Linked DNA regions of Drosophila melanogaster. The protein of the gene in region 1 interacts with the protein of each later gene in a pairwise test. Each region holds a gene or a part of one and is shown on either strand. Other genes may lie near its edges.

Region 1 (3,756 bases):
TAGATCGAAACTGAAATCACCGTTCAATGGACTGTACACAAGCCAATTGGTTCAAGCGAGTGGGAATCCCGCCTAGTCGCTGGTCTCCTCCTGGCTGCCACCGCGATGCAGGTGGTGGCCAATCAGCGTCTCGATGCGAAAGTCCTTGGCGCTGCTCTGTTTGCTGGTCCGCAGAACCAGGGGCTCGCTATCGAAGCGTCTCCTTGGACTTGAATCGGACGCCTCGGCAGAAGCCTCAAAGATCAACGCTTCCGGCGGCGCATCCAGGCGATTTGTACAGGCGCTGTCCACCGAGTCCGAGATATGTGAGTCCTCCTGCTCATTGCCGCTCTCCACGTCGATCTTGTCCTCGCATGAGTCGTCATCTCCCTCGGCTTCCGCATCGGCCTCTGTGTCCGCATCGTCATTGTACACATTGAGATCCATGTAACCACCGCCGGCGGACAGTCGTTCTGCGTAATCCCTGTGGCCGGGAATGCCCGCAGCACTGGCCACAGTCGCCACATCGAAGGCGTATGGGCTTTTGTACTTGGAGCCACGGCTGCTCTCGGATCCCCCGCCCACTCCTCCGCCGGAGCCACTGCTGTGCGGTAGTGCATCCAGGACATCCGCTCCTCGACCGCGATTCATGAAGGGCAGCCGGTCGAACTTGTCCCCCGACTGACTTCCCTGGTAGAAGGATGCTTCGGCATTCGCAAAGAAGTTAAACTTCTTGTCCGCTCGCAGCGCTGAGTCAAAGACATCCGCCGGATTGTGGACCACGTCGAACTCCCTGCTCCCATTGAAGTTGGGCACGTTGAAATGCACTGGCACGAGGGGCACGGGCTTGCGTATCCAAAATGGAGACAGCGTGCCAAAGACCGCCGGAAACGAGAAGCGTTGCATGGTGGGCGCCCGTTTGTAGCGCTTCCGCCGGCGCAGGAAACTGCCGTTGTCGAACATGTCCTCCGCCAGCGGGTCCAGCGTCCAGAAGTTGCCCTTTCCGGGATTTCCCGGCTCGCGGGGCACCTTTATGAAGCAGTCGTTCAGGCTGAGATTGTGCCGGATGGAGTTCTGCCAGGCGGGGAATTTGTCCTTGTAGTATGGAAAGCTACAAGTAAAATGCACAAGTTATTTAACATTTTTTCGAGGAATTTTTTTTAAAGAATTTGGTTGTTTATCTAGATCACTTACATTGCAATCAGTAAATAAAATATCACATTTTAAAATTTATAATTTTTGAAATCGATTAAAGCACTGAATGTCTCTTCTTTTCTATGTTTTCAATTGAAATTTTATAGGATTTATTTATTTTTATCGTCTTTACAAACTACTACTTTTATTCTCTTTTTCTGATGTTTTAAGATAACTTGGAAAAAATCAAACTATTGCTTCTTCATTTAAGGATATTAACTTTGCTGGCAAACTCACCGCGACATGATGAAATCGCAGATCCCGCTGAGCGTGAGCTTCTTGTGCGGTGACTGAAGAATGGCCATGGTGATTAGAGCTATGTAGGAGTATGGTGGCTTTACCAGGGGACCACCCGAAGATCCCGAGCCGTCTCCGTTGCCGCCGGCGGCACCACTTCCGCCCATGGACGACGGCTCGATGTCGCTGTCGTCGCAGCCCATGGACATGGCATCTGCGGCGGCAGTGCGCGAGGACGCACTGCATCCGATTCCGTTGCCGATGGAGGAGCCGCCTCTGGAGCTTTTGATGAGCGGCGGCGAGAGGGAGACGCTGTCGTGCAATGTGTGCATGGGATCCGTGCTGGTGTGCATGTCTTAGCGGGTATACACTGTAGTCTATTTGAGTCCGCGAATTGGACTCACTAAATTTAGAGGACGCAACACTGTTATTTAACTATTTTGCTCAGGAACTGTGTTCGTTTTGGCGTTTCACTTGCTTCACTTGGCATTTGCATATGCTTTTCGATTCAACTTGGAATTTGATATTTTCTTTTCTATTTCCGCTTCCGTTAACCGTTCGCTGTTACCGTCGTTTCCGGTTTAGCTGCTAGGATAAACTGTACATATGGCCAGCAGTGGTGTGGAAAGTGGAAAGTTGGCTAGCGCCTAGTCCGTCGTCGCGTCCGTTGAAGGCGGAATCCGCTGGCCAAATGTTAACTGAATCGCAACGAAAACGAAAATCTTCTCGCCCAAAATGTTTTTCTACATAACTCAAACATTTATTTATGAAAAACCGCTGCCATTGCCGCTGCCGCTGACGTTTCCCTGAGCTTTTGTGTCGCCGTTGCTGTGTTTTCGTATCTCGAATAACTGTGATTCTACTGCCGACGTCGCCGTTGGCGCGGGCAGAGCATCCTGACGGCATCCTGGCAGCATCCTGGCTGCGCCCCGACAGCATCGCAGCAGAGGGAGAGAGAGCAAGAGAGCCCGGCCAAGCCTCTCTTTCTAGCGGGGGATGGGTTGATATCCTGCGAACCAATCTATGCGAACTAGCTCGTGCCATCCCTCTCCCACTCGCTGCAAGTCCTCACAAAATGGTGGAGAGCCCTGGCTGTAAATGCGATATTTGTGTTTTCCTCTCTCCAAGCGGCGGCAAATTGGCAGCGACTGCAGAAGCCAACGAACGCGGCGGTGGGGGGGATAAACATTTTGCGCAAATTTAGATACCTTTTGCCGCTTTGACGTCGTGGCTCTTAATAATGTTTCATTATGTCAGCCACATGGAGGCAGGCGTCCTTTTCCCCTGCGGCCCTCCCTCGTCCTCGCACTCGCCCTGCCAACCACCACTCTGCTCCTCTGCCCCAAATGTTATGCTTCAAATGTTGGCATTTTTATGTGCGAATGTTTTTCTAACCGTATGTCGACGTTTCTTGGTTTCTCTCGGGCTCGCAATCTCATTCCCAGCCCTCTGTCCCTATGCACAGAAAGAAAAAAAAGAAAAGAATCTAATTATGTGTTTAATTATGTAAAGTCCAAATTCCACAAATCTTACTTAAGTTAAGTAACGAAGTTATAGGGACTTTTCTTTGCAGTTAGATAAGTAGAATTGTATTTATTTTCATAGGATATATTTTGTTGGTTATTCTAAGAACGATTAACTGAAATATGTATATAATACAATGTATTATTATTAAATACATTTAAAAAAAAAAAAAATGCATAGAACAGTTATGTCATTTTAGCAATGCGAAAAAACCGAAATAAAATATAATTTTAAAACAATACATACAATATACAATACATCTAATATAGATAATATTGGTTTTTTTTCTGTATATTTTATTTGGGTGTGGAAGTGAGATGGAATCAAATGCACCATTTTCACCAACATCCTCCGAGCACAATGGGGGCTACTAGAGTGAGAGAGAGAGAGCAGTAGAGTGGGTGGGACGGGAGGGGGTTGGACGTACATGTGTTTGCTGCATTTGTACTTGTATCCAAGTGAGTTTTGTACTATTTCTCTTTTTCATTTTCGCTGTTTTTGTTCTCCAGTTGTTAGACATTGTTGTTGTAGCCATTGTTGTTGTTCGCCATTCAGTGTTTGGAGCCTTCCCTTTTCAAATTAAACATTCAGTAGTCACTTTTATTTGTTGTACTTTGTTCAAATTAGTTTTCCAGTTTTGCGGAAGTTACCCACACACAACCAAACACTCACTCACACACACAGATGCATGGAAACAGACACGAATACAATAAGGGCCGCCATCTTCGAATTCAGAACCATATTGATGTCGCTTCTTTCACTCTTGGCATCGTTTTCATTATTCTATTTTAGCTTTGCCACCCCCAAAATTCCCATTTGCCA
Region 2 (3,756 bases), on another chromosome or scaffold:
TTTAACCGATTGACTGGGCCAAGTGAACGTGGCGGATGATGAGCTGGTATCCGGACATTTCTGCTTTTCGCCCGAAACATTGCCATGATGACAACACGATCCAATTTGATTGACAGATGAGCCCTCCTTGGGTGGAGGAGCATTCACTGCGGTGGGCCCGTCTTGCTTATTGGCCACAACGCTTGAATACAACTGCTTGGGACGGCTCTTGTCCTCGTGCTGATTGGGCTTCTCCTGCTTGGATGCTTCATTGCCATTTTGTTGCATCTTCGACGATGGATTCCTTCGATTGCGTTGCATCTGCTTAGATTGATTATGCTGAAAGTACTATTTTATGCGATAAGCCCGCTTTTTGCACTATACTTATTGCTTCACCTGTTTCACAGTGTCCTCCGGCACCACGTGGTTCAGCCCCTGCATTGGCACCTTTCCAGCTCGCTCGGAATTTGGGCGAGCCGCATTTTTGCCCTGTTTCTTGCTATAAGCAGGATTCGGTGGAATGATGGACTGCCTCATCGACGGCTGCTGTATAATTTTTGGGGGTTCCAAAATACACGCGGCCTTTGCTATGTTCTGATTTTGTGATTTGATCAAACGTTTGAGTTGCGCCTGTGACATTCTGGGAAATTTTTTGTGTGGCATTTTGATTGGAATTTTAGTTTTTTTTTTTTCAAACGTTAGTACGTGTAATCCGGAGGTATACGAAACTGAATAGAGCTCAGGCAATTCCAAATGACATTCGAGTTGACAGAAGGCACTGCTTACTTGAAATTTGTTGGCGATTCTTTTTCTAGAACATGAGGTTAGGTTTCCCACTTTCGGCCAATCACTGCTAAGTTCATCAGCAAATTAAACAATACTGGATTTATCTAAACTTATTTAAACACTAAAATGAATTATGCAATACTAGATAAATATGTAGTTATTGGAACATTATACAGCACTGGATGTATCTAAACTTATTCTAACAAAATCTAAACCTAATTATACAATGCTAGATAAACAAGATAAGATGAACATAAACATATGCACACACACACACACACACACAGTACATGAAAAGCTTATTCAACACTGGATATAAATCAAAACAAAAACAAACTTAACTTAATTTGGATTCAAAACACTGAATCAAATGGTGGATTATTTTAGACCAAACCATTGTTGAGTCTTAATAATATTATTAATTTATGATACAAGTTATGTACTCTTACAAATACATTTCTCTTATTTAAAACATCATTTGCTAGACTAGAAAACAACCTTTGTATGTATGTAAGAGTATGTATTTATCTATTTATTTATGTATGTAACCTTATAGGCACATCATTTGAACCTTCTGATTTCCACATCATCTTTAGTTATTGATGTTATCGCCCGATCTATGTGTGAATATCATATCATCGTTTTACGCAACTTCCACCCTATATTTATTGTACACCCCCCGCCAAAAAAGAAAAAAATCCCCATAGCAACAATGGCGAATGCCAAGATGCGATTTCCCTGGGCCCCAAAAGACCCAAGTTGCGTTTTCAGTTCGCTCCGCATTTCGTCTTTTGGTTTTTGCTATTGTTTTGATGGAAGCTGCAATTGCAGTTGCAACTGCTGACTGGCAACCGGATATGGTCACGAAAATCTGAAATCTCATATCCATATGCGAGTGACGCTCTGCATATGATTTGCAGATGTTGATGTTGCTTGTTTTCCCTTTTCCCAATTTCCCTTATTTTCCTTGCGTTACTACTTACAGTTTTAGTTGTTCCTACTTTGATTTCCTCAGTGTGTGGCTTGAGTTTTCCTTAGTATTCCGCCCTAGTGAATATTTAATTTGTTTCCTTCTTGCACTTCAGATGCAACTGCAAGTAAATCAAGTAATAAAATTAAACATTTTATAAGAAAGAAATGTATATTACTTTAAGGCCCGTGCCAAGGAATATGTATATACTACTTTTCTAACAACTTGTCATAATTTGATGTAAATTTCCAAGCTACTTAAGTTGATCAGTTGAGTGGCACAATACTGACTTGAAGGACAATATCTAGATTACTCGGATCTCAAGATTTCTGCTCTGTTTTGGATGCCCGCTGACGTGGACACACTCAGATGCGCTCCAGTGCCGATCCGGCTGGGTAAGCTCACCGATCTTAGCCAGATATCGACCCCCAGCCCACTCCCTTTTGTATCCCTTGAACTGTGGTGTAATTCGACTCAGTTTTTGTTTTCCGCTTCTGGCTGCGTTTTTGGCCAATCAAAGCAAGACTTGCCTTGGCTTTTGGCTTATTAATTATAATTAATAATTGCTACCCACTGGGCTGAGTCAGAGATTATGTTTACGTTTTGGTATCACCCTATAAGTTTGCGATGCTTATGCAATGCGCTGCAATTAATTGCGATAAGAACGTGCTCGAGTGTAACGTGAACCACTGCTATGGGTTGGGTTCAGAACCCCTGCAAATGACGTACATAGTTACTACAGCAGGGGGCAAATTACTAGCAGACATATTACCTTATTTGACTAAATAACACTTTGAACTTTGAATATCATAAGCGCGTTCACATTAGAGGTTTAATATAATGCAAATGCTGAGTTGTCCATTGAATTGATTAGTTGTTATTAAATCCGATTTATAGTCACAGTATTTGTAAGAATAATACTTTATAAGCCATGTACACTTTTGCCCATTATTGTGCACATTTTTCTGAAGGGCGCACCCATATGACGCGTTTGTGTTTCTTTGGTTCTGGGCTGAGAAAGTGACAAAACACAAAACAAATTTCGTTGACCATGTTTGGAGTGGCGCTGCTTCTTATTCTGTTTTGGTTTCGGCTTCTAGGTTTGTTTTCCGTTTCCATTTCTGTTTTCGTCTCGTTTTCCATTTCCATGCGACGTGGTCGGAATGACCAAGTGGTGCTCCACTATTGGGGACAGCGGTTTGTTGTTGTAGTTGTGGGTGCTCGATTAGCTGACACCGATTCTCGATGGTTGATAAGGCTAGTTCAGTTGGCCGTCCGCAAGACTGGGCCAAGTCGATTTTAATCGCATTGATTTCGTTTAAGTGCAAGCAAAACTATTTACCCCAACTCCCTCAAGGGGGTTTGGTTTGACCTCAAAACGGGCGGTTTGACCAGCAAATACTAACCTCTTTCCTTTGCTATCTTGCCTTTATTAATTCATTTTGGGTACTAGTTTGATCGCTTACTAAAACCCCTACTGAATAAACTATAACTGACCTTATTCACTGTCCGATATGATACCACCATCTATTATTTACCATTTGTTGGCTTTTATTACTTACTGGCCAAGCCAAAGCCAAGTTATTCTGGTTACTAGCCAATAAGCATTAAAATACAGCGTTTTGTTTGGCGAAATCAATTAGTAAATTAAACAAATGAAGACATTAATGCTATTAAAGAGTGTTAATCATTCAATGTGGTTCATATGGCTGCCTTTCTCTTCACTTCTTTTATTTTTTCCACGTTTTTGCTTCAATATTTAGCAGTTTGTCATCTCTTGAATGATGATGATGGTCAAAATATTGCTACCATCGTTCGTTCAACTCGTTGCCGATTTGCAAATCTGGCTAAGAGCTGGCACGCCACATCCGAACATGCATATATGTATGTATGTATGTAAATATACAATTTATTTTAACCATAATGATATGGCCAATTCCGATGTTTCACATGCGTCTGGCTTCAAGCTAACTATGTGCAAATGATCGGGCGCACAAAGGCGAAGAAACTATTTGCCAAAT
Region 3 (3,651 bases), on another chromosome or scaffold:
CACAAACATAATGAATGTTACAAATCTGAATGTTATGTTGTTGTCATCTGTCACTGTTTACACGTATCAATTGATTGTCCAAATATGTATATGTTGTCTTTGTCTCTAAAAATCGTATTGAATAATTCAGTGAAAACAAGCGTATTTTAAGTCTCTATATATGTACCTTTTGCTATGTATTGTATTTTTATGTATCTGTAACTATATAAACGCGTACGACACGCCCCACTCCCACTCACATTTCACACTCAAATGGGAAACCTAAGAAACAAATGCTAAATTTAACACTATACACACTAAAAATTAATGATAATTTTTAATAACTAAATCTGTATATGTGTAAATGTAACGTTTGTCTAAGGAATCACACAACTGAAAGTGAAGTTGAAAAGTTAGGAAACCAAGTAAAGTTTCACTTGAATTTCATTTCAATGAAAACACAATACACTTTAATTTAACTAAGTACTATACTTACAAGCATAATTGAGAATGTTCACCCACAGACACACAAAACACACACATGCAACACAATAGAAAAATGTTTAAACAATTAAATTTAATGTTAGTGGAGACGGTATTCTGTACGCTATGTTTGTACTTACAAATCGATATATATATATATATATATATACATACAATTAATTAAATTTATTAATTAATTATACAACAAGAAGCAAGCAAAAAGCAGCAAACAGCAACAAGAACAACAGACACGTTCACTTAATGTTTAACAACTGAACAAAAACATTGAAAATGAGAAAATGAAAAAGACTAAATAAAATATTAACGAAATAAGCGTAATAGACGCGTTCTTAAAGTTTCCTATGATAGCTAGCAATTACGGTTTCAATTTGCCCAGTTTGTTGGCCATGTCCACAATTAATCCGAGATTGGCATTCAGTGTCTTCACCTGGTTGAGTGTGTTCTCATCCAGCTGCATCAGTACTTCCCGCTTCACGGTGTTGATCTTGTGCGGTTTCACGGTGATCACGCCGCCCCTGGTGGGAATGTGGACGTCCGCATAGCGATCCGGACGCATCTGGACGGCCAGCGGGCTTCCCGCCTTCGAGAGCACCATCTCTCCGGCGCGGGGCCATCGCACAAAGCTCATGGTGTCGCCACTCAGAGCCCTGTCCACCGAATGCGCCTGAAGCCTCGGTGGCAGGGCATTCTGCGGAGTTCGTGTTCGACCACGACTGATGGACAAACTGCGAGTTGTGGGCGGCTTAATAGCTGGAAAGAAAGTAAAACAAAAATAACAATTACTCTTCTATTGCCGACAGTTAAATTAAATCTCACCTGCCCTCTGAAATTCGGCAAAAGTCTTAAACCCGAGAGCCAAGAATTCTGGCATCTTCATTTGCAGTAGCTGCTTATCAGTCCTACCACGGATCACCTTAATTTGGTTGTCCACCTCTTGCTTGTAGCGCTTGCTCATCTCATCGATCTTCTCCAGAGCCGAATCCATTTTGATTTGGGACAGGCGCACTTTCTCTTCGCGATCAGCCTTCTGGCGCTGGGCCTGACGACGAGCTGTAATCTTGGTGCGAGGCATATTTCTAACGATTTATATATTCCAGTCAACTAATCGCCTAATTCTAACAAAGTCAAAGGGCTCTTTGGTGAACAAGCGATTCAAAACTGTATTCATATCAACGTGCGAAAATACATTTTAAACATTTTTAACATAACATAATTTTATTGGCCACTTTCTGAAATCTGGGAACTTAAAAGCGGTTGCCTCTTTTGCAATTAGCAAAAGAAAGATGTTATTTGAAGGTAGCAGTTTTTGCTAGAGCCATGAAATCCGACCATTTCATCTGCAGCAAACGAGCATCAGTCCTGGCTTGAAGCAAACCCAATTTGTTGTCCACATCCTGCTTGAACAACTTGGCCATCTCATCGACTTTATCCATTGCAGAATTAAATTGGATTCTCACTTTCTCATCTCTTTCGATTCTCCGTCGTTTTGCTTGAAGGCGAGTAATCATCATGGAACGCTTCATTTTTTTTTTTTTGGATTAAGCATGTATTTAAAACATTACATTTAAATCGCCGTACACTTGGATATGAACATGTATTGAAACTTATGCAAATACGATAGATTTTTATGAATAAAGACAAAATACTTGAACTAAATGAGTAAAATGAAAACTGAACTTAAACGAAACGTATTAAAATATATGATATAGCATTATATCTAGATAAGCGTTTGAAATGACAGCTACTTGAACACCGCCTGGCTGGCCTTATTAACAATCATCTGCAAGTTCTCGTGCAGCGTTTTGATCTGGTTAAGGGTGTCCTCGTCCAGGTTCTCCAACAGATTTGACTCCACCTCGTCGGCATCCAGTTTTTTGGGCCGCAAGCTAAGAACTCCGTTCCGAATGGGTATGTTCACATTGGCGAACTTGTCTGGCATTCTATCGTGTGGGAAAAATGGTTTTAACAAATTGGTATCGACACGTAGTATGTGATCAATACTTACACTTGAGCCACCATGGGACTGCCGTATTTGGATAGTGCCACCTCGCCGGGCTTGGGATAGCGCAGGAATGCCATCGGCGGTGTAGTTGGCGATCCGGAGCGCATTTGCTTCTGTTTCAAAGGAGTGCGGTCGGCACTGAAGGCCTTCGCACGCGAGGCCATCGGTGTGCGCAGTTTGCTGCGCGAATTGCGGCTGCTGCTGCTGCTGCTCGAAATTGACGGCGGTTTGGCCGAGTGCAATATGTTGAGATCCCCGCAGGCGGAACGACTGCGCCGCGCTCGACGAGCCCTCGCCGAGTGCAGTGGTCCGGGTGTGCGCATGGCCTTCGTGGACCGCAGCAGGGAGCCTGTGTGGGCGGCCAGGATGCTCCCACCGCTGGCACCGATGCTGCTGTCCTCTGTAAGGTAGCCTAGATACAGTGACCGGCACAGGATGTGGATGTGGGTATATGCATTTTGCGTGCATTGAAATGTGCGGTGCGGAGTTAGAAAGCAAAGTTGAGTTAGTCACAAAGCCGGACACCAGTTAGATTAAAATTAAAAGTGAAAATGGCAACAAGAGGGTATGATGAATACCGAATATACAATGGAATTTGCCAATTTGGCATGTAAAACCGGTATTCATTTGTAATTCGGGTGATGACATCCTTGCCAGCAGATTGGTATAACAGCATACATATATAGGCCAACAAACCTTCGTCATTGCGACTTCCAGTGGCGGAGGGGGCGTGGCCCTCGATGGCGCTGCCACTCATGGACATCGAGGCGAGCAGCTGCGTCTGATCGCTGGCCTTGAAGTCGCTGAAGCGGTCCAGTTCCTCGAAGAGGCGCAGCACTTCGGGCATCTTCAGATTGGCCAGCTCCTTCTGCACCTGGCCGAGCAGTGTCTTCACCTGGTGGTCCACGGCGGAGAGGAACTTGGTCTCCAGCGAATCGATGCTGATAAGGCGGGAATCCATTTTCAGCTCGTACAGGCGCACCTTCTCTTCGCGATTGGCCACCTCGCGGTTGCGTTTGGAGTTCTTTGGTATCTTGGTGCGCGGCATCGTGGCAGCGGCCTTTGTTTACACGTTACAGGGTTTTTGCGAGGAATAACTATTTTCGTAGCAAGCGTCGTCTTTTTGCTATTTCTTTTCGAGTTTGTCCGCTAAAATTCAAGCGTCA

Evidence for each region.
Region 2: the proteins of fd59A (region 1) and CG12992 interact in a two-hybrid assay, tested with the Drosophila melanogaster proteins (one large-scale study listed by BioGRID).
Region 3: the proteins of fd59A (region 1) and aust interact in a two-hybrid assay, tested with the Drosophila melanogaster proteins (one large-scale study listed by BioGRID).

Annotation. Positions count from the first base shown.
Region 1 is NT_033778.4:22,866,509-22,870,264, reverse strand, and holds the start of fd59A (forkhead domain 59A), read right to left. Parts: upstream 2,107-3,756; 5' UTR 1,764-2,106; coding exon 1,411-1,763; intron 1,091-1,410; coding exon 73-1,090; 3' UTR 1-72. UniProt on the Drosophila melanogaster protein: Involved in development during embryogenesis.
Region 2 is NC_004354.4:17,587,088-17,590,843, reverse strand, and holds the start of CG12992 (uncharacterized protein), read right to left. Parts: upstream 1,980-3,756; 5' UTR 1,914-1,979; intron 1,857-1,913; 5' UTR 1,749-1,856; intron 887-1,748; exon of another isoform or gene 830-886; 5' UTR 643-829; coding exon 376-642; intron 328-375; coding exon 1-327.
Region 3 is NT_033779.5:9,249,454-9,253,104, forward strand, and holds aust (australin), read right to left. Parts: upstream 1,590-3,651; 5' UTR 1,556-1,589; coding exon 1,300-1,555; intron 1,234-1,299; coding exon 839-1,233; 3' UTR 595-838; downstream 1-594. Other genes in the region: borr (borealin-related), read right to left, coding at 2,225-2,423, 2,489-2,897, 3,182-3,533.